Canis lupus familiaris: one gene and its partner. The protein of the gene in region 1 interacts with the protein of each later gene in a pairwise test. Links are inferred from orthologs where the notes say so. Each region holds a gene or a part of one and is shown on either strand. Other genes may lie near its edges. The genes, in order: HAX1 and IL1A.

Evidence for each region.
Region 2: the proteins of HAX1 (region 1) and IL1A interact in binary tests that used the Homo sapiens proteins (3 or more experiments, as listed by UniProt). The link is inferred for Canis lupus familiaris from reciprocal best matches to the Homo sapiens genes HAX1 and IL1A.

What each region holds. Positions count from the first base shown.
Region 1 is NC_049228.1:42,949,355-42,965,345, forward strand, and holds HAX1 (HCLS1-associated protein X-1), read right to left. Parts: upstream 9,997-15,991; 5' UTR 9,889-9,996; coding exon 9,836-9,888; intron 9,770-9,835; exon of another isoform or gene 9,624-9,769; intron 9,371-9,623; coding exon 9,072-9,370; intron 8,942-9,071; coding exon 8,748-8,941; intron 7,876-8,747; coding exon 7,824-7,875; intron 7,697-7,823; coding exon 7,590-7,696; intron 7,465-7,589; coding exon 7,374-7,464; intron 7,226-7,373; coding exon 7,140-7,225; 3' UTR 6,973-7,139; downstream 1-6,972. Other genes in the region: AQP10 (aquaporin-10), read right to left, coding at 501-627, 1,183-1,287; UBAP2L (ubiquitin-associated protein 2-like), read right to left, coding at 11,354-11,449, 12,270-12,320, 12,715-12,912, 13,651-13,718. UniProt on the Homo sapiens protein: Recruits the Arp2/3 complex to the cell cortex and regulates reorganization of the cortical actin cytoskeleton via its interaction with KCNC3 and the Arp2/3 complex. Slows down the rate of inactivation of KCNC3 channels. Promotes GNA13-mediated cell migration.
Region 2 is NC_049238.1:37,153,062-37,168,800, forward strand, and holds the start of IL1A (interleukin-1 alpha), read right to left. Parts: upstream 7,930-15,739; 5' UTR 7,850-7,929; intron 7,215-7,849; 5' UTR 7,207-7,214; coding exon 7,160-7,206; intron 6,178-7,159; coding exon 6,129-6,177; intron 5,737-6,128; coding exon 5,526-5,736; intron 3,761-5,525; coding exon 3,587-3,760; intron 1,743-3,586; coding exon 1,624-1,742; intron 1-1,623. UniProt on the Homo sapiens protein: Cytokine constitutively present intracellularly in nearly all resting non-hematopoietic cells that plays an important role in inflammation and bridges the innate and adaptive immune systems.

The DNA of each region.
Region 1 (15,991 bases):
AAATAGTATTCCCAGCGTAGGGCTCAAACTCACAATCCTGAGATCAAGAGTCACACACTCCTCTGAGCCTGCCAGGTGCCCCTGCCACCCCCCTACTCCTCAGGCAGATGTGTCAGGAAGCTGAGGCTCAACCGGATCACACAAGAAAGCCCCAGATCTTCCTAAGACAGTGTTCACATCTCAGGGCTGCAGCCAGGCACACTGACAATAGCACCTGTCTGGGGACCAGCAGGTGATGACTCCAGAGGGCTTCAGCAGGGGACACAAGAAGGCAAGCACTTACCCTAACGCTTTGCCAAAGATCTCTGCCTAAGTGAGTTCAGGAGACACACACACAGGGGAGGGGCTGGACCCAGCCCAAGGCATATCCCAGTCATCCCAGTCCAAGGCACCGGTCAAGCTCAAGGAGACAATGTTTATGAGTCACTGGAGGATCTGCCATCTACCCACACTCACGTGCATGTTCTGTCCCAAGGATGACCAGTTCCCACCCTCCTCACCTGAAACATTACCACTCACGTAGATGGCTATCGTAACAGCTAGGGAGGCAGCCAGGAACATGGTGAAGAAGTTGCCTTTGCCTTCTCCACTGGTGACAGCTTGTGCCACAGCACCCTGAGTGAGGATCTGGTAGGAGAGGAAAGATGAGGAACGAGAACCAGGAACAGGGAGCCCCAGGAACAGGGAGCCCGGGCAACCAGAGGGGGACAGAGCACCTGGCAAAGCCAGAGGAACAGCCAGGGTTGTTGAATGAGCAGGAGTCGACAGGGAAGGGAGAAAAACACATGGAGGGAAAATAAAGGAGAGATGTGAAGGACGAGTGACAACAGGGAAGGAGGATGAGAGATGGACAGGAATGGAAGGGACAAGGGCAGGGAGAGAAATGATGGGCAGGGACGCCTACGTGGCTCAGTGGTTGAGTTTCTGTCTTGGCTCAGGGCATAATCCCTGGTCCGGGGATCCAGTCCCACATCAGGATCCCCACAGGGAGCCTGCTTCTCCCTCTGCCTGTGTCTCTGCCTCTCTCTGGGTCTCTCACATGAAGAAAAGGGAAGGGAAGGGGAGGGGAGGGGAGGGGAGGGAAGGGAGAGAATTGATAGGCAGTTAAAGAAGGGAGACACCAAGAGGAGCCAAAAACTTCTCCCCACCTCCCCTCTTTCCTTCCCCAGTTACCCAGCCTACCATGAGCACGAACACTCCCAGAAACTCTGCCAGGCACTGTCGGACCAGGTGGCTGCGGATCTGGAGCCTGCTCTTGACTTTGGCCAGGGGGTGGCTGTAGGCCATGGTGAGGACACCCTGTCTCTGGCTGCTGCTCCCTCCGTCTGCATAGGCACACGAGTAGTGCCTGCCAGATAAGGAACAGACTTTAAAACCAATTACCTCAGCTCTTGAACAGCAGTATCTGTACACGTGTGTAGGCTAAGGACATAGAGATGATGGGAGAATGTCCAAGGACAAGCTTGGTGCACGACCAGAGCCTGGAGTTTGCCCGGGCTCTGTGTACTTTGTCTGCCATTGTCATTCTTCCTGTGCTGATGGGCAGGAGGAAGTGTCCTGCATCAATGCAGGTGGCCTCGACCACCCTGGAAGGAAGCACCACTCCTCCCACTCTGCTCATGAGGGACTGGAGACCCTCAGGACTCTCCAAGGCCACACAGCTACTTAAGGGCTAAGCCTGAATTCAAATCCAGATCTTCTGACTCTCCATCCCCTATTGCACAATGCTTTTCATGTGGAATGCGAAGTGTTTCTTCCATTTGGATGCTTACAAAGTTCCACAGTCATCCAGAGAAGCTGGGCCAACGACCAGAAGCTGCAGAAATGAAATCCACTCGGTGAACACTTGCACTTCCCTCGTGCAGAGCTCACCTTGGTTAGAAAGTGCTACAGCTTTGTGTCCCCTGCCATGGCTAAAGGAGCACTTTTTGCCCACAGGGAGCCCCACCCCCCCCTTCTCTGGATGCTTGCCACCCTGATTCTGCATAACACAGAGCCACCACTTCCTACTTCTTATCACAAGCCTCCAATTAGCTTCATTCAACTATGAGTCAAATTCCAGACCTGGGGAGCAGGGTGAGCAAAATACAGTGTGTGTTCTCCCATAGAGCATGTTCTTCTGGTAGGTGGAAACATACACATGAAGATACTATATATAGTTTACAAGGTTCTTGAGAGGTGGGCCCCATAAGCCCCAGGTTCTAATGCAATAGTGGGCATATCTGTACGCAGTAGTTCTTTACTGGGTTTAGTGGATATCAGAATGCTCTACACGCAGGTGCCCATTCAGGGGCAATGCACCCATTTCCCAGCTGCTGGGAATATCAGATGCTGAGAGCACACACCTGTTTCCCTCGTGGTACTACCTTCCATGGCTTAAGATGGCTTCACCCAAGGTGACATGCTCTCCTATAGGGTTCATGTCAACAACTGGTTGATGCAGGGATACAACGACCTGGCCTCTTTGCCTCAATACAGAACAACCCTGAAGGGTCACTCTAGCTTCAAAGTCCCCTTAGCATTAGCTGAGGCTTCTCTTGCAACTTCCTTGTGTCAGTCCCCACTCTGCCTCATCCTGCCTTCAACTTCCTAGCATTTGTATCCCCAGAGAGTGCTAGCACCCCCAAGAAACCTTGCTCATGTCTCTTTTCATCTTTGTCTTTTCCCAGGGAACCCAATTTAAGAGTTGGTGTCAGGAGTGGTTCCACAAAATCTAGAACGGAATTTGGGCGATCACTCACGGGCTGGTTGACAAGAACTCTATCATGGTAGTAGGTAGAATATGGATCGTCTCTAGCTTGAAATAATGCAATGATTAAAACGGCCAGCAGTGGGCAGCTGGAAGCGGTGACTGGTTGGAAGGACATGCACTTGTGCAGTATCTCCAGCACTGAAGAAGAGGCTGAGGGAAATGGTCACTGGGTTCTGCAAAACCCATCACCAAGCAAAGGCAGACCGCAAAAGCCACTGGGCTCCCTTGACAGCATTTCAGGAAAGCCTAACCTCTTGCAACCAGTGAGCATTAGAGTGGAGGACCAGCTCAGATGTGAAGTGTATGAGTAGCAGAGTTTTAGAGAAAGTGCAATTCTCAGCCCCAGTAGGTTTCCTGTGTCAAGGGTAGGGTCCTGAAAGAAAAAGGGTAGGATCCTGACACTTGAGATAGGGACATCTGGGTAGATGCAACTAAGAATCCTGAATCCCGATTCCTCTGAACCTTCTCTCAAATCATTTTGATTTTCCTTTGTCTCTAGTGTTCTGAAGTAGTGTGGGTTTATTTTTTTCCTTGCTATTTAGCATGTAGCGGGTCTTTCAGGTTAGAAGTAAAATTCTCGGGCAGCCCCGGTGGCTCAGTGGTTTAGCGCCACCTTCAGCCCAGGGCCTGATCCTGGAGACCTGGGATGGAGTCCCACATCGGGCTCCCTGCATGGAGCCTGCTTCTCCCTCTGCCTGTGTCTCTGCCTTTAAAAATTTTTAAAAAGAAGTAAAACTCTCCACTTCTGGGATATTTTCTTGGTTTATTTCATTGATGGTTTACATTGTTAGTTTTTCTTTTTTTTTTTTTTTAAAGATTTTATTTATTTATTCATAGACATACAGAGAGGCAGAGACACAGGCAAGGGAGAAGCAGGCTCCATGCAGGGAGCCCGACGCGGGCCTCGATCCCTGGTCTCCAGGATCACACCCCAGGCTACAGGCGGCGCCAAACCGCTGCACCACTGGGGCTGCCCCATTGTTAGTTTTCTTATCGTTTTTTTCTTTTTCTAAGATTTTACTTATTCACGAGAGACACAAAGAGAGGTGCAGAGAGAGACACAGAGGGAGAAGCAGGCTCCCTCAGGGGAGCCTGATGCAGGACTCAATCCCAGGACCCTGGTATTACACCCTGAGCCAAAGGGAAGCGCTCAATCGCTGAGCCACCCAAGCGTCCCCCTCTTTTTTTCCTTTTCTAAAAAAATTTTTATGAAACATAGTCAACATGTAAACATTCTATTAGTTTCAGGTGTACTTTTTTCCTGTTTTCTATCTCTATCACTTGGTCTTTCTAGAGATTTCCTCACCTTTGTCATTAAAATCTTTATACAGGGGCAGCCCTGTAAAATCTTTAAAATAAAATTAAAAAATAAAAAATAGAAAATAAAATCTTTAAAAAAAATTAAAATAAGGGCAGCCCTGGTAGCTCAGCGGTTTAGCGCTGCCTTCAGCCCAGGGCCTGATCCTGGAGACCCAGGTTCAAGTCCCACGTCGGGCTCACTACATGGAGCCTGCTCCTCCCTCTGCCTGTGTCTCTGCCTCTATCTCAGGAATAAATAAAAAAATTTTTTTCTTAATTAAAATAAAATAAAATCTTTTTACAGTTTTTCATTTCTGCCATCACATTTTTTTAAACTCCTCAAAGTTCATTCTTATTTTGTTTATTCCTCTTTTGCAAGAATACCTTCTTTATGGATGTATCATCTTATATTTCTAAGGACATTAAAACGTGCCCTTGCTAAATCATCTTTCTGCAGGTATGTTTCTCCCAAGTCGCTTCTCTTGTCTGAGTCCACTGTTCATGCTGGAGGCTATCCACAAATGTCTGGTCATCTCCAGCTCCATGTGTTTAAAGTGGTACTCTGAAAAGCTGATTAGAAAAATCAATTGTGGGCAACCCCGGTGGCCCAGCGGTTTAGCACCGCCTTTGGCCCAAGGCATAAAATCCTGGAGACCCAGGATCGAGTTCCGCATTGGGCTCCCTGCGTGGTGCCTGCTTCTCCCTCTGCCTGTGTCTCTGCCTCTTTGTGTCTCTCATGAATAAATAAATAAAATCCTAAAAGAAAAATCAATTGTAAGGGTGCCTGGGTGGCTCAGTGAGTTCAGAATCCAACTCTTGGCTTCGGCTCAGGTCATGATCTCAGGGCTGTGGGATAGAGCTGGGCTCTATGCTCAGCAGAGTCTGGTTGAGATTCTCTCTCCCTCTGCCCCCCGCCCCCACTCATACATGTGCTTTTTCAAACTTTTTTTTTTTTTTTTTTTAAGATTTTATTCACCTATTAGAGACAGAGACAGAGAGAGAGAGAGAGAGAGGCAGAGACACAGGCAGATGGAGAAGCAGCCTCCATGCAGGGAGCCCGACGTGGGACTCAAACCCGGGTCTGAAGGCGGCGCTAAACCACTAAGCCACCGGGGCTGCCCACGTGTGCTTTTTCTAATTAATTAATTAATTAATTAATTAAGAAATTGTATCCTTACATACTAAAAGGAGAAAAAAGTCAGAGGACATGTTCTACTAAATACAAGTCTGCAATTTTAAAATGTGAGTAGGCACAGAGACAAATAGATTAACAGGACAGACAGAAAGGCCCAGCACAGGGAACCATGTGTATTTGTGTGTGTACAAAATATATTCATATCTGTACATACATATGCATATGTATTTTCCCAAATAGAATAAAATGAAGTTGGTCCCATGTTTCTTTTTTTTTTTTTTTTTTTTAGATTCCATTTATTTATTCATGAGACACAGAGAGAAACAGGCAGAGACATAGGCAGAGGGAGAAGCAGGCTCCATGCAGGGAGCTCAATATGGGACTCAATCCCAGGACCCTGGGATCATGCCCTGAGCCAAAGGCAGACACTCAATTGCTGAGCTGCCGAGGCATCCTGGTTCTGTGGTTCATACCCCATAGGAAGATAAATTCTTGATGGATTTAAAAACTTAAATGTAGGGATACCTGGGTGGCTCAGTGGTTGAGCATCTGCCTCCAGCTCAGGGCATGATCCCAGAGTCCTGGCATCAAATCCTGCATTGGGCTCCCCACAGGGAGCCTGTCTTTCATGAATAAATACATAAAATCTTTTTAAAATAATAAATAAATAAAAACCTAAATATAAAAAGCAGAACTAATAAAACTTGTAGAGGATAAAGAAATATTTTTTTAACCTTGGGTTGGGGATATTCCTAAGATATAAAGAGCACTAACTATAAAGAGAAATATAAACAACTTCTTGGGTAATAAATCAACTTCTGTTCACATAAAGATATAATAAAGAGAAAAGACAAAATTTCATGATTATATCTCTTTGTTCTTATGATTTGCTTCCTTAGAAAAATCCCTTTATTGTCATTTTAGTGAAATTTCAAGAAAACAGAGGTAAACAAATGTTTAAGATCTGCCACTATAAACCACAGTGCTAAAGTTTTGTTTTTGTTTAAAGGTTTATTATTTGAGAAAGAGAGAGAGAGACTGAGCAGGGGGGTAGAGTGGGGAAAGAGTGGGAAGGAAAAAAAAAGAGTGGGAAGGAGATGGACAAGCAGACTCGAGCTCAGCATGGAGCCTGATGCAGGGCTCAGTCTCATGACTGAGATCATGACCTGAGCTGAAACCAAAAGTTGGATGCTCAACCGACTGAGCCACCTAGGTGCTCTTAAGAATTTCTTTAATGAGAAAAAAAAAATCTAGCAACGTTTGTCCTAGTTATATTTTCTCCAACATACATGGGGCGGGGCGGGGGGGGGAATACATACCCACTAAAGGAAAAAATATTTGCCAATGTATTTCATCAAATTACCTCGTGAAATGTCCGATCATAGTGATCCCACACCTGGGGAAGCAGGTGTCCCTACATTTCCACACACACTTCCGCTTGTTAGACTCTAATGCATCCCTGTGTAAATTTTCCTGGAATTGTCTCTAGGTATCTCCTCCATAAGAATACTCATTTTCTACCAGTACCTGACCAAATTATCCTGATTATCCTGACCAAATTAACCTGATTATCAAATCAGGGTTGGGAAGCAGAACAAAAAATTAAGAAGTAAGAATACTGTGGGCCAAAATAATCTGGGAAGCCCTGGATGGTACTACAAAGTAGAAGAGCCTCCACTCACCCCGCGCAGCAGGCGGGTCCCGCCGACTGGAGAGAGCTTGGGAGGCCTTTAAAAAAAAGGGGGGGGGGGGGAAGAACAGCCTAGACAAAACTAAGACCAAGGAGTTAGCATAAATAAAGGTTTTATTGGTCAGTTTAGGTGAGTCACATACTGACATACCCCCAACTCACTGTTCCATACACCCAAGACCCTGAGGTGGCAGGAGAAGCTAAGCCCACTGACAGTGAGCGAAGGGTGGAAAGGATCTGAAGGCCTCTGAGGGTTAACAAGGCTACCGGGACCGGAACCAACGTCCTAGAAATAAATCCAGGATGGAATAGGCATCATCCAGGGCTGGAGGTGTTGGTGATTCTGGATCTAAGGAGAAAGTGATACATACAGACACACTAAATGAAAAAGAATGGGCAGTGGACAAGGAGAAGAATATCAAAGGCTGAAAAAGTATGTGTGTTTTTTGCCCAAGGAAATAAGAGATGGACCTTTTTGATTCACAAACTTTACTTACCATCTCTAGGACTGCCATCTGCTTCTTGATGGGTTACTGTGGTCTCTGTCCGGCCCTCACTATCCACCACAGTCCGGCGCTCCTCTACTGTCTACAAGGAGAGACCCCAACCATATCTCTAAGATCAATAGAAGTGAGCTCACTGGTTTCTTTATATAGATTGCTCTTCCATGGCATCCTCTGGCCACATTTCCCTTTACTCCTCTTCCAACTCACCCCATCTGGCTTAGTGATCTTAGTCACCGTGACACTCTTGAAATAGGATTTGGGCTGGGGCTGCAGAACTGGGCCGAGGCCTTCCTGGGAAACCTGCGAATCAAGATCTAGAAGGGCAGAGAGGAAACACGAAATCAAAAGTCCAAAGGAAAAGAAGGGGCCAAGTGTGACAAGAAGAAATGTAAGGGAGAGAGAACAAAGGGTACGTTAAATGTCCCCTCCCTCCAGACTCACCATTGTCTTCTCTGGCTCTAGAACGGGGGGTCACAGGCCACATATCATCAAACTGTAGAAGGCAAAATAGGTGAAATGATACCTTTCAATCTGAAACTTGAGAGGTCACAGAATCCAAAATATTCCTAAGTTCCGTAACTACTTTTCCCCTGGGACAGAGGATTCCACTCAGGATAGCTTTATTTACTCACCCCTTTCTCTGTCCTACCCGTTCAATCTATCTTTCCACCAAAAGGCTCTCCTCAACTGACACTCTATCCTATCCAACAATCCGTCTTGTCCCAGAATCATACAGACTGGTGATTTTTTTTTAAGGTTTTACGCATTTGAGAGAGACAGGGAGTACAGGAGGGGCTGAGGGAAAGGGAGAAACAGACTCCCCACAGAGCAGGGAGCCCAATGTGGGGCTGGATCTCAGGACTCTGGGATCACGTCCCTGCATGGAGCCTGCTTCTCCCTCTGCCTGTGTCTCTGCTTCTCTCTCTCTGTCTCTCATGAATAAATGAATAAAATCTTTAAAAAAAGTTATATGGCAGCCCGGGTGGCTCAGCGGTTTAGCGCCGCCTTCAGCCCGGGGCGTGATCCTGGAGATCCAGGATCAAGTCCCGCATCGGGCTCCCTGCATGGAGCCTTCTTCTCCGTCTGCCTGTGTCTCTGCCTCTATCTCTCTCTCAGGAATAAATAAATAAAATAAACCTTTTTTTAAAAAGTCATAAAAAAAAATAGAGAAAAAAGCTGAACTCCCACCCTCATGCGCCCCCTCCGCCCAATCCTACAAGGAGCTTAATAGAGAAAACAGATAAATACACTAGACAGTGGAGAACCTAGGATCCCAACCCAACTTTGCTAGATTCTGACAAGCTCCAGTCTGTGCTTTATTAGTTACCTCCTGCAGGCTCTCACTTGGGGCCCAGAAGCACTCACCAGACCAAAAGGTCTCTGGGAGCCCCAGTCTGGTGCTGGTTTGGAGGATTCACTTCTTGTATCACTCTCCAAGACCCCCCCAAAGATCCTGGGCTGGTGACTATCTGGATACTTAAGCATTGAGTCCCGAAGTGTCTGTCCCTCCCGTCGTCTCTCACCAGGTGTCTCTGATTCAGGACCAGGACCTGGAAGTTCTGGGAAAAGGGGGCAGATGGATGCTGGGGGGGGGAGAGGACCTGGGCTCCTCACAGCCTTGATATTATCATTCTTCTCACACTTCCCACCCCCACTACTCTCTTCAGGCTCCTGGCTTCACCCACTAACCCAGGAGAAACCAGAGGTGCTCCAGGGGCAGCCACACACCAGAAGGCCGGGAAGGCAAGGTCCAGGCCTCCATCTCGCTGAAGATGTTATTAAAATCACGAATCAGGTCATCAAAGCCGAAGTTATCATGGAAACGCATCCCTCCTGGAGTGAAGGTGAAGCCAAAGCCAAATTCCTCCGGGGTCTGGGGACCCTCAGACCTCGAGCTCCCATGGCTCCACGGGGCTGCTTCTTCCTCCTCTTCCTCATCGTCCTCATCTTCATCTCGAGTCATCCCTCCAAAAAAGGGATCTCTGTGGCTGGGAGTGAAGGTAGATTGAGCACCAGAATCTCAGCCACACCTTCGGCCGCACAATCAGCTCCGGGTGGCCGAGGAGCCAAGGGCAGAGGTCTGCGCACCGAGGTGCGGGAGTGAGGCTGGCGGGGCGCCGTCGGGGTTCCGTCTGTGTCAGGGTCGGTCCTCACCTCGCGGGCAGGCCGTGCCCCCGCCCCCCGCGCCCCACCCCCGCCCGGCCCCCACTGTTTCTCCCGCCCAGGCCCCTGTTGCATCACCCCAGACTGGAGAAAGGCTTAAACTGCGGTTAGTCCTCCTCTCAGCGGCCGCCCAGGTGACCGCCGCGGGGCGAGTGCGCAGTGTGCTGACTTCTGTCCTCTCCGCAGCTGGTGAAGGAGTGACGAAGAGGACGGCTTCCCAAGAACTGGGTGTCAGAGATCAAGCTCCCCTCAGGAGACCCCACCCTCGTCCGACCCCGACCCACTCTAACCTCCGAGGTCCAGAAAGGCCGAAAAAGCCCCGAAAGAGATCAAAGAAGCTCATCCCCGTTTTGGGACTCGAACCTGCAGACCCCACCGAGGCCCATTCGCACCTGGCCGCAGCTGCACTCCGCCGCCGGAAGTTGAGAGCAGCGTCGGGCCGCCTGCCGGAAAGCAGGCAGGCGGCGCGGCACGCTGTCGTAACACGACCGTCTGCTCGGCGCAGGCGGCGCGGGGCGCCGCCCGGTCCCGAGCCGCACCCCCTGCCCGCGAAGGGAGCGGGCGAGGGCCCGGAACCCTAAGCCGCCTTCCTGCCCGGGACCGGCCGCCGCCGCCAGGGGGCAGCCTCCGCCCAGCGAGCCGGTGCGGCAGGTGCTCCAGGCTCGGCGTTTGAATCCACGGGTCGGTTGGGGATGCTCGGACTTGGCGCTCCCCGGCCAACGGGCATGCGGTGACCGTGACCGATACTAGCTGCCCTAGGCAGGCTCTGCAGCCTGCAGGCACAGGCTTGGCAAGAGAGCCGGGGAAATCCCGTAAGCTTTGCCGGGGGAGGAGTTTGGAGCTGTAAGTAACCCTCTGCCTGCCCCCTGACTTTCAAGCCTTTCCTTTCCTGCGCCCCCACCCTCCCTGCACCCCGGCCCTGGTCTCCTGACCCCTCCTTTTCAAGGGGCCGGCAGCACTCAAGAAGCAGGAACTGCATGCCCCCCCACCATTGTCCTGGACCATCTACAGTACACGACCGCTCCCCAAACCCACTCTCCAGCTTTCTACCCTGTGTCTGCTGTCCATTCCTGTCACAGCCTGAAATCTGCAGAGGAAGCAGCTTCTGGAGGAAATGAAAATTTGCAGCAGCTCCTTCTAGGCTGTGAAGCCCCTGGGGAAGGAGGAGAGGGAATCCCAGCAGGGCAGGTGAAGGCAGAAGCTCTCTTTATTCTGGGGCCTCCAGAGCCTGCCAGGGGCCCAGCTGGAACGGAATATTCATTCACCGAGCTGGCTGACCAGACTGTCTTAGAATGAGCAAGAACGGGCAGAGGCTGAAGGTAGAGGTTTTCTTTTTATATATACAAGACACATTAATCCATTAAATTCGAGGACACAGTACAAAAAAAAAACACTTCAACTAATTCATCTGACAATGCTGTTCATATTCATGACGCCATTTTGTTGTTGTTTTGTTTCCTAATAATAAAGGAGGAGACGTAGGGCTGTTGGGCTGATATATATTTGGGGGTCCCCCTGCCCCACCTCACCTATACACCACCAGGGTGAACAGGAGGAGAAGGAAGGCGGGGCCCACAGCAAAGTTTCATAATCTTGAATGCAAGGGGGGAGGAGGAGAGGAAAGGGGGAAAAAAAAGGAGAAAATACAAATCCTATAATACATACAACAGAGTAGGGGTGGTATGGGGACGGGACAGACATGAAGCTGAGGCATAGGGTGGGACACTGGAGGTAGGGGCAGCGGAACCCCCCCTTCCTCTCTCTCTGATGCCGTTTCCGTGGTTGCCGGGCAGGAGGGGGGTCAGGCCTCAGTTAGCCCCCCAGCTGTAGCTGTTGTAGGCAGACTTGTTGGTCTGGGGCTTCTGCGGGATGGAGCTGGTCTGGCTACGTTGCCCGCTGCCCGTCTGCAGGGAATGGGATGATGAGGAGGAGGAAAAAGGTGTCTGGTTAGTGGGACAAATCTGTGACATCTGCAGGTAGAGCTCTGGAAACTGTCTTGCTCTCCCACTCCCCTTGCTTAGAAATGACTCTGAAGTTTACTTCCCCACCACAGAAAATTTGGTTTCTATAGGTGCTAGAGGACCTGTGACATGGAAGAGAGCATTTTCAAGCTTTGAACAGGGGAACAACATAAAGACGGCAGAATACCTTTTGGAGACAAGACAGTGAATGAGTTCTCCCCACTTTCAATTCCACTTTCTCCCTCCACTCCCACCTACACTGCTCTGAGAAAAGGCTCTCTCTCTCTAGAGAGAATCACAGCCTCTTGGAGAGGAGTGATCACACGGAGATTTCATTTTCATCAATCCCATGAATACCTCAATTTGGAAAGCTGTCTTATCCCAGCTCCTCAGCCACCTGTGATGGAGGAGAGGTCACTTGTACCACCCCAAGCTCCCCACCCCTACCACAGAGCACAGCTGAGAGCCCACTGCAGGTGAGGTAGGAGAGACAGTCTGAGGCCCCAGGCTCCAGAGGCTGCCCCAAGAATCCTTTCCATTCCAGTAACCAAGTGCTTCCAGAGTCAGGGAAGGGCAGAAAGAAAGAGGGCGCTGGGGAGGGAGGACAAGAGAGGAATGGGAGGCCAGAGAGCTCAGCGAGGTGTCTGTGTTTGTGTGTCCTGATCTGTGACCGTGCAGCCTTTCCAAGTTCCCTGACGCTGTGGAGGTGAAATGGGGGCTGGAAAGGAGTGGGTTCAAGCACATCATCATTCAGTTTCATTACCTGCTCCTCCTGCTGGCGCTGGCAACAGAGAATCATCTGCAAATATGGTAGCTGAGGCAGAACCAGGATATATGGAAAATAAAGGGACAAACTTTGACAATAGAACTCCACCATTAGAAGGGAAAGCTACAATGTCAGGGAATGGGGGAGGCTGGGAGAGGTTGGAGGGGAGGCGTGACCCAGGTCTGATGGGATGAGGCAGCTGTGTTATAGGAGGCAGAAGAGAAAGGCCCCAAAGGAAATTTCAGCCTGGCCCCTTCTCTGACATCTCCTCTGCCGGCAGCTGGTGTTATGTGCACTTGTGTGTGTATGTGCTGTGTGCCCATGGCTGGCGCTGGGAGGGGTAGGTGAAGGTGGTTGTGAGGAAGGGTAAGAGAAGGAAAGGGAGGCAGTTGTAGGGGACAGGAAGGAAGAGGAAGGGAGAGGAGAGGGGGAGGGCTATTACCTGGCCATCCTGCTGCAGGTGATGGTGGAGGATCTGGGAGTGCGGCTGCTGATGGGGGGTCAGAATGTGCATAAAGGGGGCAGGTGGGTAGGCAGCAGCTGTGGCCGGATTGATGGGCCCCCCACTTCCTAGGGCTGAAGGCAAGTTGAAGGAGGCAGCAGGAGTACCGGAATGAAAACCTTGTTTCTCAAAGGACTGCTATCCAGAGGGATGGGGAGAGACAGTAAAAGGGGTCAGCAAACCAAGCCCTGGAGTTTCAGAGCCCAAGTCCCCCACCCCCCAAGAGCAGTATGCAGCAGAACAGCAGCACTAAAGGCACGTGAGCGGGTCTGCTCTGTTCTCCAAGGGCTGTGGGATCCTGAGAGAAGTACTCACTCATTCTGATCTTTGCTCACACATAACCCAGGGGTGCTGACTCCCAGCTGTCAGCACAGCAGGAGAGGACAGCTGTGAGCGTGCTCTGGGACTCTACCATCACAAACCACCCCCACCGTGCAGCTCGGGCATCCTGGTGGCAAAGGTCTCGGTCACCAAGTGCTCCACCATAACTCCGAACACTGCATGTATCAGGCTTAATAGTTCAGATGCACTCTTCCGTTCCCACCTTTTGTTTTTACAAAGAACGGAACTAGTTTCCCTTCATTCCATTCTCTTGGAAAGTTGCAAAAAGGCTGGTGGTATGGAAAGAAAGGACAGTTGCCACAGTAAGTCTCAAGACACATCACAGCCACCTGCCACGCCTTACCTTCCTGGCACACTTCTCTTGCCTTTCTCAGAGAGCTAAATTTAAAGTTCTTTGAGAAACTGAAATCTAGAGACCACTCATCTTCGAGGACAGGTTTCCTACACCTCTTGGGGTCGTGCTTGTTCACTGGACTTCTGTCACTGCAACACCACCTCCTCTATGCCCATCTCTTTCCACTTCTAGGCACCTACCTGGGTTTTGGAGTACACAGAACCCGAGATATCTGGCACGCCCGTGTTACTGGAGGTGACTGATACACCTGGGGGAGGAGGAAACAGACAGGAGGATTAGCTGGGCTCGCTGCTGGCCCCTCTCTAGACAAGGAGATGGCGTGTGCGGCCTTTCTAGTTACCACACTGCAAGGGGACTCTGGTCTGTTTTTCCAGCTCAGGTCAGCACCGAGAGAGATGAGAGCTCATGACCCAAATCTCTTGTCCTTTCCAGGTTATGTACTGAGAATGTATGTGAGAAAGTGAGCTGAGCTACTTTTTGTGGGGCAAGTGGATATAGCCAAATCTCACTAGCATATAGTTTTCAAAACACTTTTGTGCCAAAGCTGAAAAGAAATGTAATAAAATTTTAATGTCCATTTCAAATCAACCCACCCAGACTCCACCCAGTCCTGCTCCTAAGATAGGTAATCTGGGCTCTTCCTGTTCAGAAGAGACCTTTGGGCTCAGGATCTGTGCTTTCACAGCATAAGAAAAGTGCTCAAGGAGCAATCCAGTCCAGCCCCAAGAGCGTGGTCTGTTCTTGGGAGTCTCAGCTTCCCTGGCCCGGCTGCTCCAGTCTTGGCTCTTCTCGGCTATGTACTTCTGACTTAACGAGCTGATGCAAAGGTGCACTTCCAGCTAACTAATTTAAGCCTAAGCATGGGGAAGGGAGGGGGTTAGGAAGGCAGTGGGGGTAGGCTATCTCCTACAGTCTATGTGGAACACAAAACCTGACATCCTCGTTGTTTACAACTTGAGCTTCTCCATTAGACACGGGCTCTGATCCATACTCCCACCAACCTGCACATTTCCTGGTGAACTCCCTCCTACCACTACCACCACCTAAAGGAAACTAAAGCAGTACCATTCCTCATTTTAATTTCTACTCCCTAAACTGAAATACATATAACTACTCTCAGGTATGGGGCCATGGGTCAGGGAGACAGGAAAAAGTAATCAGATAAAATAATCCAGCATCTTACTAGAGAGATTTTATGCCAAGATTTGAGGAAAAATAACTCCATTTAATTTGGAATTTAAAGCACACTTTTAAGGAAACATTCAGTCTCATCACAGGAGATAAAATGAAACCAGAAAAACTGCATTTCAGCCTGTGTCCTTGATCCTTCTCTCCGGCTGGGAGGGGCACTTTGATGGAAGAGTATTTTAGAAGCACTGTCTATAAACTGACCAAATCACAAATTCCCCCATAACTCAATAGCAGTTCCCCCTTCAAACTCCAGAACCCCAATCCCCCCAATGCCTAGGACAAAGGCAGCCTTCAAAAAGTTAAGCCCCCTTTGGATAGCCGCTGCAGGATCTTTCTTTCATAGCACAAGTCTAGATGGTTTGGTGGAGGAGCCAAGAAAAAGAACAGAACTATGGAAACAGCCTGAGAAATACGGCCCCATCACTTCAAAGGCCCTGAAATAAAAGGGGTCGACCCAGGGACCGATGGGGTAGATCTTCCCCTTCCCTCTTAATGGGTGATAGGCATTAAGAACAGTTCATTTATGGAAAAGACTAGGCCACTGGGAAGGTCTGTGTGGAAGGGCTGAGAGTGAGGCAGTACAGACAGGATACAAATAACGTTTTTGAAGGAAATCAAAGACACAAAAGTTCAAACACCCTGCAGACACCCAGGGTCACCCCACCACACTGGATGGGAGAAAAGGCCTACTGGTTTCTAGAGCTGGGTAGCAGGGAGGAGTTTAGTTCTGGAGTGCCCCCCACCCCGGTTTCATTCTTTCCAGAGTCTGGACTAGTTAACATCCAGCTTCTAGGCCTGAGGCTGTAGTCTGGGTGGTTAAAGGGACTAGAGATGCAGGATGAGACGACAGTGTAGCAGCCCTAACAGCCTGAGTGTGAGCACTAATGGAATAGCTGTCAGCTTCCCCACTTACCCTTCACCAGTTATGAGAAAGCTCATCAGACTAGAGCTTTCCTTCCAACAGTCAACATCTCATCTATCCCCCACTCCCAAGCAGTGAAGACCACACTGACATGATGTGGACAGTGGAGGAGAAACGAGAACTAACGTCTCCCAGCATGGCAGCCTCTAGGGGAATGGGGTATCTGGGTTTCCAATGAACAAAGGGTGGTGTTCTCAGCCTACAAGGTAACTGTCAACAAAGGGGTGAGGTGTACTAGTAATTAGACTGAGTGAGGATAAGAATTTCCATAGTCAAGGAGTCGTCTAAGCAAACGTCTCCCACGCATCCTTAGCTACACCCACAAGTGCAAAACCACGAGTACTCCACAATCCCTGAAAAGCCTACCAAGGGATAAAGAATAAGAACGATGTTGCAGGCTAGCACAG
Region 2 (15,739 bases), on another chromosome or scaffold:
CTTGAGAGTATGAATGGAATAACAATACTTTAATGGAAAAGTGAAATTCAAATTTCAACTTGAGATGCTTCTACTGTGTTCTTTTTAATTTAGAGAAACTTCTTAAGGGTTCCTGGGGTTTTTAATGTCAACAAAAATTTATTTCACAAACCCATTCCTCTCCTAGTTTTTTCCCAACTCAGTAAATGTATTTTCTTCACACCCTGTTGGTTCTATCTCTAAAACATCACCAGTTCTGTCTACTTATTTCGATCTGTCTCACTACCCCAACTCCCATGACTATTATTATTATCTCCTAATTGAGCTCTGTGCTTTCTCCAATGTCTTCCTGCCAACCTATTCTCCATTTTAGAAAATATAAGTGAAGTCAGGACACTTCCCTGTTTGAAACCCTTTCATGGTTTTTCATTGTACCTCAAAGGAAACCTAAATGCAAGGCTCTGCAAACAATAGCCTCTGCTTATCTTTCCTCCTTCTTACAGTGCCCTGGTTCTAGAGTGTTCCTTCTGATTTCTGAAGCTGGCTTTAAACTCTTGAAGCTCTAGGTCCTAGATATGCTCAGATCCCTCTGTTTGGAATGCTAACCCTCACTCATCCCCTTCCATGTCATGCTCCTTCCTATCATCAGATCCCATTTCACAGGGAGCTCTGCTCTTGCCACTGTATGTAAAGAGCACTCTCCCATTTTTCTTTATCTCAGCACCCTGTTCATTTGCTTTATGGCATCTTGTATTTTTTGCTAGTTGTTTGGCTTGTCTACTGTCTGTGTCCTCAAGAAGACCAAGTTCTATAAGGCTAGGGACTTTGGCTTACCATGGTCTACATAGTTGTTGGCACTATGTTTGAAAAATAGAAGGCTCTCAATAAATAATGCCTGTTGAATGAATTCATGAATGGAGCTACTGCCCTAGTCTGTAGAGATTACTTTTACCTCAGTTGATCCAGGTAGAGAAATACATGCACCTACAAAAATCCTGGTTGGATTTGGGGGTTTGCATTATACATTTACTAAATAAGAGTCACCTATTTATCAGTGGAGTGAGCATCTAAAGCTACAGTGGGTGTGTTTAGGTGTCTATATGTTTGAGGGGAAGGTGGTAGTGGAGATGGGGCTGGGATGAGGGATAATGCTGACACCAATGAAGAGAGAGGTAATAGAGTCAAAAGGCCAGGGTTTGAGTCTTGGCTCGTTTTTTTTTTTTTGCTTTGTGCCCATTGACAAGTGATTAACACTCTCTGCTCCTAGTTGGCTTATTTGAGTTTTTTGGAAGAAGGCCCCATTGTCCTAATGTCTACCATCACATAGGTCAGATGGTAGATGTTAGTAAGATGGATGCCCTGGGTTGGAAGGTGACTAGGGTCAGGCAGGGTAAGGAAAAAGAAGGAAGAAGGCAATTTACCTTTTATTCACTCTTGCCACCTCCATTTTACTTTCTCATAGATCCTGCCTAGAAGTGCCTCTGGGGATAGGTGAGAAGTAGCATGCGGGGGCAGGTGGGCAGGTAGAAACTGTGTTAGGAAGGGAAAAGGACTGTGCCACCCTGCTAGGGGTATCTGCCTATTGGAATCATTCACAAACATGGGATGTAAATGAAGGTAAATTGGAGACTGAGAACCACTGACCTTTAGCAATACAGGTTCATCTTCATTTTGGGCACTCACAAAGAGTCGAGTTTTTGATATTCTTAGAGTCACAGGAAGTTTAGAATCTTCTGATGTGTAAGCTCCCATGTCAAACTTCACTGGCAAAGAGAAAAGTCAAAAAGGAAGTAAATCCATTGTTATTTGAATGAAATCAAGTGTTATGTAGATTGTGTGTATGTGTGTTTGTAGTTAGGTCTCCAACTATGGTGTAAACACCAGAATGGAATTCCACACATCTTTGTATCCTTCACAATGTCTGCTACATTTACTAGGCAGGTAAATACTTGGTTAATGTCTTTAGAATTTTCTGTGTTGAATGAATGCCTGGGGGCTGGCTATTTGTTGAATCTCTTATAATTACATTAGTGGGATAAGACCCTTCAACTTATGAGCTCATGAGTTTATAATAACCTAAAATGGAGGGGTTTAGGGAAGCTGATATACTCATGTTGCTAGTGCTAGTGAAAACTAGTTGCTTTCCTTAGAGAACAGTGCTTAATAAGAACTATATGATTATTTATTCCTAGGAACCAGGAGTTCCGTTTTTGGGGTATGCTCCAAAGAAATAACCTCATAGGGAAAAATTATATATACAAAGATATTTGCAGTATAGTTACTTAGAGCAAACCCAAGGCACCCAAATAGCAACATGATTGAATATTCTAGTGCCATTAAAATGCCTGGGTGGCTCAGTTAGTTAAGTGTCTGCCTTCTGCTCAGGTCATGATCTCTAGGTCCTGGGATTGAGCCCCTCATGGAGCTTTCTGCTCAGCAGGGAATTTGCTTTTCTCTTTCTCTCCCTCTGCCCCTCCCCATCACTTGTTCTCTCTCTTTCAAATGAATAAAATCTTTAAAAAAATGGCAAATATGTATGCTATTTCAATACGTGAGGAAATTATGTGAAATTATATTAAGTAGGAAAATACAGCACAAAATAATTTGTAAATGTCAAGGAGTAGAAAGCATATTATCTGAAGTATGTCCAATCAGAAAAAGCCCTGTTTGTTTTTTGCAAAGTAGTCTCTTTGGAGTTCTGAAAATAATTTTGTATACTGAGGGCATGTCCTGAAGCTAAAATACATACACCATGAAGATTGGATTTGTGTGACAAAATTTCTTGGATACTAAATTTCATCCTCCAGAACATATTGTCAGCTTATTGGGTGTTTTGCTTCACAACTGTGTTATCAAAGATGATGATTCTTTTCAGTTTGATGATACTTGTAGGTTTGAGCAGCAGGCTTTCTAATGGGGAATGATTGCTCCTATTGGCTTCTGGGTAAATTTGAATAAGTCATTTAATATTCCTGAGAGTCAGTTTCTTCATCTTTAAAACCAAAGATAAGAGTGTCTGAGAGAATCAAAGGAGCTACTTCATCAGAAAGCTTTATATTCGGTGCTCTCAAAGATAGGAAACTTCTCTCTTGTATAGCTTCCTGATTTGGCTGAAGCTCCCATCCTTGCCTAGGATTTTACTGGGGATGTTGTGCTTCATCCAATTCAGTAATTATACTGAACTATACTGCATCCTACTGCAGTAACTATACTGCAAATATCTTTGTATATATAATTTTTCCCAATGAGGTTATTTCTTTGGTGCATACCCCAAAAATGGAACTCCTGGTTCCTAGGAATAAATAATCATATAGTTCTTATTAAGCACTGTTCTCTAAGGAAAGCAACTAGTTTTCACCAGCACTAGCAACTAGCAACATGAGTGTATCAGCTTCCCTAAACCCCTCCATTTTAGGTTATTATAAACGCATGAGCTTACAAGTTGAAGGGTCTTATCCCACTAATGTAATTATAAGAGATTCGACAAATAGCCATCCTAAGAATTGTGCAAAGCTAGGAATCTAGAGAGGTTTATATTTTGAAAGCAAAAAGTTAGAAAGAAATACAGAAATAAGAGGATGGGAGAATGACAGAGCTGTACATTTACCTGCATCATCCAAATTCTGTAATGCAGCAGTCATGAGGTAATTTCCTCCTGTTTGTCGAACTATACTTTGATTGAGGTTGTCATTCAGGATGAATTGGGATTTGATGATCCTTATATAGTTGTATTTTTCATTGTTATGGAAGTTGTATGCTACTGATCTGGGCTTCATGATTACTAAAACCATTATCACAAGCTCAGATTAATGTCTATGAACAAACACAGGTAATATATCTGCTCTAATACAAGTATCAAAATTAGCTATGGAAGGGACATTAGGAATATTTCAATCCGGGTGAAAAAATTGAGAAAGAAGTGAAGTTACCCAGTCAGCAGAAATAGTTTCTAGGATTATCTTTGTGGCTACTTATTTCTTTTTAAACTTCAATTCCTTAGGCAGTAATTTTTTAAAAAAAGATTATTTGTTAAATATTCTCATTTTGGTTGTTTGGAGGTTTCTAAGAAAACAGGAAGACTGCTAACATTCACATCTACATTTTTCAGATGAATACACTCTAAGGAAAAAAATGAATATATTAAGACTTATATTTGTTACTGAGGATATAAGTCTAAATGTCTACCCCTCTTTCTGAACAGTGGTATAAATCAACAACTTCACAAATCCTCATGGTTCTGAGTAATTTTATGACTAGGAATCTATTCTAAGGAAATAGTGATAAAAATAAGGATATAATATGGATATTAATTGTTATATATTTATAATGTTGAAAAATTGGTACTCTAGAATGCCCTTGGTATATTGCTAAGTGAAAAAAAGCTGAATATAAGATTGTATATAATATAATCCTCATAATATTTGTTTATATGTGTGTATGTGCATGGAAAAGACTTTAAGGACATACCATAGTGCTGGCAGTGGCAAACTCTTAGTGGTAGTATGAATAATTTTTATTTTCTTTTGCATTTTCTTTCATCTTCCTATTTTCTAGGTGACTGTGTATCAGTGTTTACCTGTTACTTTAAAAAGCTATTATTGGGCAGCCCGGGTGGCTCAGTGGTTTAGCGCCGCCTTTGGCCCAGGGCGTGATCCTGGAGACCCGGGATCGAGTCCCACATCAGGCTCCCTGTATGGAGCCTGCTTCTCCCTCTGCCTGTGTCTCTGCCTCTCTCTCTGTGTCTCTCATGAATAAATAAATAAAATCTTTAAAAAAAGCTATTATTTAAAACCTATTTATGTTTCATGTAGAGGCTTATACAGTAGAAGCATGGGAGAATAATCCTGACTGTTAAAATCAGAACTGAATTTGGTTTAAACCTCTTCTGCTTATACACTATGTGACTTCTCTAACTGAGCTTAGTTTTAGTTTCCTCCTATGTAAAATGAGAATATTAGATTGTTGTGAAGTGTAGGGATAATATAGCCAGTAATAAATTAGCAATGTTGGTAGTAGTAAGAAAGGTAGTAGTAGTAATGGGAGTAGTAGTAGGAGGAGGAAGATAAGGAGGAATAACAAAATCTAATGTTTATTGGGTATTTATGTTCCAGGCATCATTCTAGTCCAGGAGCTTGCAAGTATAGATTCATTTCATCTTCACAAGTGGGGCCCTGATTATCTCCATTTTACAGTAGAGGAAACTGAAGTATAGAAAGGTTAAGTAACTTACAAAGGAGCATAGTTATTATCTGGAGAAACATAGCTTATGAGTAGTATGTAACTGCTTTCTGTCACAAGGATAAAAGGCACATGACCTTTACAATATGGCCACAAAATGCACCCATGAGGAAGTATTCTGTAGGCTCAGGCTACTCACTGCTGCTCTCTTCCCACTGGAGAAGGACAAAAATTAATTTTCCTTCCTTGTGGTTACTAGACTGATGTCTGGTTGCCCCCTTATTACTCTTATTCTAGGTTTTATTTTCTGCTAGCTCTGTTTGCTTAAGAATGGAAAACAAAGATATTATTTGTACTTGACCTCTTACCTTCTTCTGTGTCATTGGCAATGTCTTCCAGGTCATCATCGGTGATGAATTGACTTAAACTCAACCGTCTCTTCTTTAGAATCTTCCCATTGGCTGCCACCACTACCACATTTTCCTTGAAGGTAAGCTGGGATGTCTTTGAGATTTCAGAGGTACTCAGAGACATGCAGTCCTCATGAAGTGGGTCACAGCTCATATCATAGAAGGATTTCTATGAGGAAGGAAAATAGAAACTGAAGGGCTATATGTGGTCATAGGAAGAGATCACTTTCAGCAGAAGTTTTATCTAATAGATTTAGTGAAAAGGATCTCTATTCCATCAATCTTCTCCCCTTTCCCTCTCTCCTTCCCTCCTTCCCTCGTCCTCTTTTTCTCCTCCCCTCCCACCTTTCCCTTGGAAAATCTGTTGAGCATGGAGAATGTCATCAACAATTAGTGTAGAGAGGCAGTTGGTCTCACTTATAATGAAGAAATATTTGTCTCTGAACCTCTAGTGAGGGCGAAACAAAAGCTTCTAGGATTCAAGCTATTGCTGTTTTCTCCTGGTAGAGAAAATACTGCATAAGAATAGTAACCCCATAAGAATTGCAGTCATTTACTTACCTGATTCAGAGAGAGATGGTCAATTTCAGAACTGTATTCTTCATTTTCACTGTCAAACAAGATAATGAGAATGTAATTCTGTTTGTTACATCTCTGCAGTTGTTTTAATGACCACATTAGCTTTGGTAACACACACGGTCATTACTGCCATCTTTGAAAATTAAGGATTTCTATACGTATACATACATATGTGCTGTAATTGTGCCTCACTAATTTGGAATTAGTAATCATCAGTAATTGTCACTGAACTGTACCTGTGCTTTATCTCTAAAAATGGGGCTTGGCTAACAAATTGAAGGGTTGTAGTTGAATTTCAAGGAAAAATGTTAACCTCCTCAAGAGGAAAATGCTTTTGAAGCATTAAAATTTTTAAATAATGTTAACCAAGTAGGTCATGTGTTATACACTACTTTCATGTATTCACTTAAACAGATGTAATAATGTACACTTGGGAACTATCCAGGCAACATTTTGATAGCTTGGTTTGTGTTAGTATATACTAATAGATAATGGGAATACCTTGTTTGTTTAAAGTATCCTATAATTTAACATTTTATTCATTTACCCTTATGTCTGAATGAGTTTTGACTGTGTGTGTGCATTCACATGCTCAAATTGCTATGGAGCCATTACCTATTCCAGACTGAGATCCAGAAGTTTTCCTGAGAATGATTTCTCTCTCTGACAGTCCATTAAAACCCGTTACAATATCAGAGCATGTGAACCTGACTGAGGCTGTGTCTAAGTAGATGTTGAAATTCATTAGTTCTTAGGAGACAGTAAAAATAGTTTTTCAAAAAAAATAATTTTTTCTAAAATGGCTATCTCCCTGTCAGTGTCATCTCAGTGTAGCATGCTAGAAGCTTACTCTTTCTGGATCTTTGCTGAATCTGTCCTGACTTCAGAGGTAGGACACATCTCTATTTATGCTTCTGCCAGTCTGGCTCCATGCTAGTTACTGTAATACTAGGTAGATTATCATGTACCTTGATCTCCTCATTAAATTGCAAGAGATAGAACTGATTTCCTACCTGTAACAGTTCTTCAGGTCTTCAAAGAGGTCAGGAACTTTGGCCATCTTGATTTCTGCAACAGAGAACATGAGTGGCTGTCAGCTTAGCCAGCCACTGAACCAAATACCTGCAAGCGGAATCACCACTGCTTTGTGCTTCTTGAGAAGCTTAATGAATGACTTAGCCCACACTCAGCATTTTCCCCATTCTTCTTTGCACTCCCTTGTGTTATCTGCATATGTATCTGCCTCCTCTCCTAGATTGCAAACTTCTTTTAAAGCTTTGATATTCTCTATGTGCTCAACCCAGTGCATTGTACACAGTAGGCATCCAATGAATGCCTGGATAAATTAAAGAAAAAACCTACAAGAATGAGGTATTTGCCTTACATAGATGTAAGAGAGAGACAGATTTGGAAATTTCTAGTTTTCTCTTAGTAATTTTGGTAGTAGAGCCTCCTTCCAAGGGAAGGCTCGGCTGCACCCACAATGCCTTTATATGAAACCAGTTCTTCTGTTCCTCAGTTCCTCATCAGTAGAAAGAATTATTTTCTGAAATCTGACCGTGATTATAACTCACACACCAAACCAGGCACAGACAAGAAAGGAAGGAAAAGGCTTGAACTTCAGAGAAGGCAGTTTGAGAGACAATGGCCAAGGAGAAAAGCAAAATATATTTTAAAAGTCAGAGATGTGATCAGGACAATACCTTTGCTGACTCAGGAGACAATGAAGCGACTCCCTCTCTGCCTGGATACTTAGCCCTAGTCAGACTACTTCGCCTTTTGTCTTCTTGGAGTAGGCGTGGTCTGTGTGCGTCACAGGGGAATTTACAGGGAAGAATTGTATTTTTTTTTTTTTTATCTTCCTTTAACTGGAAACTGGCCAAATAACGACAGATTACATACTTGATAATAGTGTTGTTTACAGAGATTCCAGGACTTCCTAACTTGGCTCATTTATCTGGCTTTGCTCTAAACAATTATAAACATGTAGTCTTAGAAAAAGGGAAGAAGGACAGGAAATTTAAGTTTCTAAAAACATAGTGGTGGCGAGGAAGAGAGAACTCCTAAAATCAGAATTCTAGGTGGTTGGAATTAGACAGGAACTTAGGAACTGTAGTTTATGTTTTAGCTTAATTTGTTTTTTGTACCCCAGCACTGAGTATGGATTGATGGAATGCTTGGCAGCCCCTGGCAGTAAAGGATTGGCTATGAGGGAAGATGATCTATCTTTTCTGAAGAGGGAGATTTGCTTGAATAGGCATAAATCACTCTGAGAATGGGGAGACAACCTCCTGGTTAGGGCAGGGTAGGGGAGAGAAATGATAACTATAAGAAGTCTTAGTCCTCTTACTCCTCTGAATATTGTTAACCCATTTCCTACAGAAGTGACAGGGCTTTAGGAGAGAACTCTCTGCTCTGGCCATGTTATAGCAAAGTGGCTCTCTATCAGGACCCAAAGGAAGTCTGGTCTTTTCTAGAATAAACCTAAGGTGTGTGAGGATAGCTGCAGACTCAGGGAAATATGGGCAAGCCCTGGCCAAAAGCTGGTAGCTGGATTTGAGAATAGAGGTTGAGGGAAGGGGAGGGACTTTTATATAGGCACTACATCAGTGTTGCCTGGCTGTTATTATCAAAGATTTTATTGGCATCTTGAGGCTGGCCCAGTTCAGGTGGTACCACGTCAGACTCTTGGCAGATAAATGTTGAAGGTTTCCTGATTGGACTTTAAGCCATGTAAAAAGAAAAAAATTTTTAAAAAGATTTTACTTATTTATTTGACAGAGATATCCAGGGAGCATAAATGGCAGAGGGAGGAGAAGCAGACTCCCCTCTGAGCAGGGTGACTGATGCAGGACTCCATCCCAAAACCCTGGGATCATGACTTGAGCCAAAGGCAGATGCCTAGCCAACTGAGCCACTCAGGTGCTGCTAAGCCATGTAAATGTTAGATAAAGAAAATGGATGGAAAAAGAGGGTAGAGGAGAGGAATAAAAAGGTAAAGAGAGAAAGGTGAGGCACTGCAGTGTAACATGGTATAAAAAGGCAAAACTGCTCAGAACTGGGAGTAAAGTGGCTGTGTGAGTTGGGTAGAGTATTTTCTCTAGTCTTATTTAACAGCAAGTAGGGGGATCCCTGGGTGGTGCAGCGGTTTAGCGCCTGCCTTTGGCCCAGGGTGTGATCCTGGAGACCCGGGATCGAATCCCACGTCAGGCTCCCGGTGCATGGAGCCTGCTTCTCCCTCTGCCTATGTCGCTGCCTCTCTCTCTCTCTCTCTCTCTCTCTCTCTGTGATTATCATAAATAAATAAAAATTAAAAAACAAAAACAAAAACAACAAGTAGGGGTTGGTTAGATGTTCTTTAAGGTCTAGCCTAAGTGCAAAATCTCTGATTCTGATGCTATTAGCCAGTCCAGATCCTCTTGTTCATAGACCTGGTCACAATAGTTATAAACAAGAGCCACAGAAATAATGTATCCTAGATGTAGGCAATGTAAATTTAGGACCAGATTGGGACAGATCTTGCGTGTCTCTGGAAGGATCCTTGTTTGAATGGTGATGGTAGCCAATTTTCTATGTCTGTGGTTCTCCTTCAGGCAATACAGATATTAATCCTGGTTGTTCCTTCTGCATCCTGGAGATCTTGTGAGGGCTATTACCAAGAAATAATTGCAAACTACACTATGAATGTGGGCTGCTATGGAGATGCAACTAAACAAAAATAATAACAATGCTAATGATAGCTTCTGTCACTTGGGAACCTATATAGTCATTATTGTAACACCTTACTTCACTGAAGAATATATAGTTCTTATGAAAACATTGCTTTGAAAATTTTAACAAGGAGGACATTTTCAGGTGAAGGCCTCCCTTGAAACCCTGAAGATATTTAGTTCCTGGAAGGAATGTATAGCACCTGTTTGGTAATCCAGGAAAACATCCTTGGTCCTACCTTTAGTGGTTACACCCATCCTGGCCTATGTCCCTCATGTAGAGAATTGGAATTCCCCAAATATGGTTATTGACTTTCTCAAGGACAGTTGGAATTTTTTCTAGATAGCCAACTTAGGCTGAGATTTCACTAAACTTTTTCCTTCATATGACCTTTTTGAAAATTGGCTTTTAAAGGGAACAACATGGATGAGGTTTAGAGAGTGGGAGTTCTCACTTTGGGGGAACCTACTTTTCTGTATGTATGTACCTATACTGACTTGTAAGTAAGTCTCATCACTAGACCATCTCTACCTAGGGAATGGAGAGAGAAACATGCTAGGTAGAGCTCTGTTGGAGCCCAGGAGGTCCTTGGGGGTTCAAATACCCATCTCTTGACTCTGAGGAGGCTTCAGTAACTGTTAGTCAATTTCCACCAGATCATATAGAAAAAAAAAGTTTATTGTGTACTTATTCTGTGCCAGAGTTTTTGTTAGACATAAGCATTTTTCTTTCAGGATTCACCAAATTAGATACAAGATGAGATGATATATTTTGGTAGGTAAGTGGATACACTTTATTAGCCTGGAAGTTGTAGGTATAAAGAATCATGGTGGTGCTTTTCATTTGAAAACTGCTTTATACTTCACAAAGAGCTCTCACTTGTATTGTCTCACTGGCTCCACACTTAACCCACAGAGGTAGTTGCTATCTCTTTTCACATCTGAGGGGCCTTGAAGAGGTTAAGTGGATGGTTGTCACAAAAGTGGCAGAGCCAGCCCTCTAACTTCGGGTTTCTGTTCCAAGTCCAATCTTGACTTTCTAGTGCATTTAGGTGCTCAAGTCTCTTGCCTCCACCAAATGCCATGTGATGGGGCTGAAAGAGATCATTTTTGAAGGTCTTGTCAGCCTCAAACACCCTGTCATTGATTCTAGGATTTTTTTTGTTGTTGTTGTTTAAAAGAAAAGATGAAAAAAGAAATGATTTGAAATATCCCCCCTCCCTCTCTCCTCCTCCATCAATGAAATCTCATTTTGTTCTGTGACATACAGGAAAAGGATGGAGGTGGTCAATGTAGTTAAGTGCATGGTCAGTGGTGGAGTCTGGATACAGACTTTAGCCATACTCTTGCCATTGTACCATGAAGACAAGAGAAGATCTTTGGAACCAACTTTAAAATCATTGCATGTAGTTGGATCTACAGCATTGCTTGAATGAAAAAGTAAACATAACTCTTCACTATGAATTTTTCAGGGGATGTAATTATTTGTTTTCAGGTTGTAGAAGTCCTCTTCAGAGGAATGAAGTGTGCATAAACCATTACATACAGAGACAATTGAGCCTTTTGTCTCATCTCATCCTATTTAATTGTAACCTGCTTTTAAATTCTGTGACGGTTAGTGGGAAGGAGGAAAGGATCTAACATAGTCTTCCAGGTGTTATAATACATTTTCTCATTTAATCTTCTCATCAACCTTGTGAGGTAGGTATTCTTATCACATTTTATAGAAGAGGAAGTCAAAGTCCAGGGAGATTAACCAATCTGTCTAAGATTTTGAGGTTACCAAATTGCTGAAATGGGATTCAGATACCAGAGCCTAAGACTCAAGAAACTACTGGGCTCTTTTTCTTAGTATAACCTCTTCCTTTTCTTTATTCTTTTAAAAAAATTTAAAAAGATTTTATTTATTTATTCATGAGAGAGAGAGAGGCAGAGACACAGGCAGAGGGAGAAACAGGCTCCATGCAAGGAGCCCAATGTGGGACTCGATTCCCGGTCTCCAGGATCATGCCCTGGGCTGAAGGCAGGCGCTAAACCACTGAGCCACCTGGGCTGCCCCCTGAGTTGATTTCAAGTTTCATTTAGACCCATTCTTTTTTTTTTTTTTTTTTTTTTTAATTTTCTATTGAGGTATAACTAATACACCATGTTATATTAGTTTCAGGTATATGATATAATGATTCTACAATTCAATATATTTCTCAGTGCTCATCAATTTAAGTGTACTCCCTTGCCTTCTCCCTTGGTACACTGTCTTTCTGTCTTTTACAGATGCACTTAAAATCAGAGTTCATTAGGGAGGTTCTGTGTGACCACAGTCATGTCTATACCTGTCTCTCATTTTTCTTCTTGTTGGCTAATTGTGATTGCCTAATCAGAAGAGCATTTTAGAGAAATTCCCGTTTCTTTTGAGTCATTTTCCTCATGGAATCATAGTTGTCTCTGGTCTGAACTTGTTTCACAATTAATAAAAAACTTGGATTACTTTTCTGGATTCTAAAACATGATTATTAAATATTGCTAGGGAAATATAAAAAATATAAAAAGAAAATAAAATCCACAAACAAATAACTAGAGGTATTCAATATTACTACCTTGGTGTATTTTCTTTCATTTGTTCCTTTTTTAAGGCATATATAGCTTTGTTTTTATACAAATGGGATACTCTGAGCATTTCAATATTTGCTCCTCTGAAATCTAGGGAATGTATATGTGGTAGATTCTCCTTACCAAAAATCCATTTGTAGGATTACTTGATAAATGTCTGTCTTCATTTCCTAGTCTCCCTTGCATGGGTAAGGGATATATGGTTCCTTCTGGCCAAAGCGTGAGCAGGAAGTGATACGTGATATGTTATACTTCTAGGCTTATGCAATTGAGGGCCACTGTATGCTTCCGTCATCTCCAGCTTCCTCTGATGCAGCAATTTTGGAAGTCACGTATTCCAGATGGTATGGCTACAAATGGATGAGGTATGGTTGCAGATGTATGAGACTAGAACAATCTGCATTTATCTTTGCATGAGTGAGAAATCTTTATTTATTTTAAAAGATTTTATTTATTTATTTGATAGAGAGAGAGAGAGAGAGATTGAACAAGAAGGGGGAGTGGCCGGCAGAGGGAGAGGGAAAAGCAGGCTTCCCGCAGAGAGGGAGCCCAAAGTGGGGCTCAATCCCAGGGTCCTGAGCCAAAAGCAGACACTTAATTGACTGAGCCACCCAGATGCCCTGAGAAACAAATGTTTGTGTGACGTCACTGAGATTTCAGAGTTTAACCTAATCTATTCTGTATACTATGCAGTATAACCTAATCTATTCTGATTACTACTGTGTATAACTATCTTTCCCTTCTCCATCACAAACTCCAAGGTGACATGCACTTTATCTCAAATTTCTTCTTTCATATAATCAATTCCTTCTTAGACAGAATTGTGTCTAGATTAGTATTCCTCTTATCATATTCTCTACTCTCTGAGAGATGATTTTCAAATCAAGTGAATTAAAAACCTAATCAGATGCTTTCATTTTGGCCAAATTCTGATCCCAGGTATAAAGATATATTTAGTTGTGAAAATAAAAAGGCCAATAATAAACTGTTAACATCCCAGGTGGAAATCATATAATAATTACATTAAACATCTAACATTTGTATGGCATTTTATAGTTTTTCAAAACATTTTTTCTAAATATCAGTATAAGCATTCACTATGATGTGAAGCTGACTTATGGATGCAAATAATTAACAGCAAAGGTCCAATGCCCAGTGCATGATTCTGTTCTCCTTCCTTTTGGTATGAATTCCTGGGTACTGGGGAGGATGGACCCCTGGTTAGAGCAACTGTGGCGCAGGACAGGGAATGGCAAGTGTGGTACACAGTGTGGTTGAAAAGGCAAGAGACTTGGATCTGGCTTTGACCCTAACCCATTGTTGTGTGACCTAAAAACATTTCTATACATCTCAGAGCTGTCCTTATCTATGAAGGTAAAAGATTGGACTGGATGACAGTTGGGATTTTTGCAGCCATGGCTGTTCACCCCACACTTCATGACTACCCTGAACCTAACCATATCTGCTTCATGGTACTTCTATACTCTTGAAGTATTGTGTTTGGTTACATAAGGCTCATCCTGTATTCATTCCTTAATATTCTTTTGTAGGATCTTTCTCTGTCACATGTACAGTTGCGTTAGAAACAGATACATGCTTTTTCATTACTTCAGTGGCCGATTTGATTTGTCACTGAGTATAAATAGAAACAAGTTCCAAAAAAAAAAAAAAAAGAAACAAGTTCCATTTCTAGTACAGAAATATATAACAGTCACTGACAGAAGGAAATAACAACTTTACTCCATTGATGATGACTCAGGCTTGATAGAGATGAGAGATCATCTGGGGCCTTGCCTTGGTTACCTTTAACAGAGTTTAAGTTTCTGAGTCAGAAAGGCTAGACAAGTTTTACAGTATTTTGATTAAAAAAATGAACATCCAGGGAAGAGATGTGATCTTAACTTTCTCTTCTCTACTGTGCTCTCCATGAGATCTTAGTGCAGTCCTCTGTAGATCATTATATCCCCTTCATAGTTGCTCAAAGGCACTATAGCTCCCCTGGGAGAGAAAGAGCAGGCTGAGAGAGCCTGGACTCAGGAGCAGGACCTAGGTAGGGGCAGAGGAGAGCAGGAGTTTCCACAGAGCAGAGTTGCAGGAAATCTTACTGAAGCCAGCTTGGCAGTCTGCTTCACAGTGAGGCGTTGTATCAGAAGCCATGGGGAAAGAGGTGGCAAAGAACTCCACCTGCCCTTAATAAGCTCTAAACTTGTGGAGAAGACCTGTGCAGATGACTACAGTGCAAGCAGAATAAAAGAAGTCCTGTAATAGAGGCACAGCAGGCAGATGGGAAGGGAGAGGCTGAAGCTAACATGGAGAATTATGGAAGACTTTACAGAGCCTGCATTTTAGCTGTGACTTGAAGTGGTAGGTTTGGATAGTGGAGAATGGATGTTCCAGGCTGAAGAAATTGGGTGAGTAAAAGCATAAGGCATAACATTTCATGTCAGTGTCTCCTATTGCATGGCCTTGGCAAGTTACTTAACTATTAGAGCTTTGGTTGCCTCATCTGTAAAACTGGGCTAACAATTCTTCATAGGGCTTTGGAAGTATTAAATGAGATTGTGTTTGTGAGAGTATTTAGTTCAGTGTTAGTTTCCCTTTCTTTGTCCCCAAGTGTCCAACTTTCTCCTGATTCTTTGCTCAGGCTGTGCCCCCTTTGGGAGTTATTCTCCCCTCTCCCACCCATGGAATTAGACCTTTCTTTGCTCTGCTAGTCCAGGCTCATCCTTGACATAGAATGGAAAAAAGATTTGCTGCAGGGAATTTCAAATGTAGCCAACCAAAAATCAGGTTATAGTTATAGGAATTCTAAGTAAAATGCAAGCTTGTCCATAGTGGTTATAGTAGATTGGAATAATTATTAAAGGCTATCAGTTCATGCTGTCATTCATAGGTGAGGAGCTTTGATCCAGGAACATGCTTCTGGAGCAGGAGACTTAGTGGTGATTAAGACAAACAGGGTTCTGAGCCTCATAGAACATCTCTGCTTGTGGAGAAGCATGTATGATCATAGTTGTGGTGGTTTTTAAGAAAGGGTAGTGTGGGATGCTTTGAGATATATGCAGGGGGAGTGGAAGGTGGGGAGGGAGGAAACTTAAATTAGTCTGAAAGGTCACGGAAAGTCTCTCTGAGAAAGCAGCATTGTGGATGGAAAAGGTAAGATTTAGCCAGATGAAGGTGCAGGTAGATGTAGGAAAAAAGATTCGTGTCTCAGGCAATGGGAGAAGCATGTGCATAGGCCCTAAAGGGGCCTATGGGGCCTTCTATGTCCTAGAA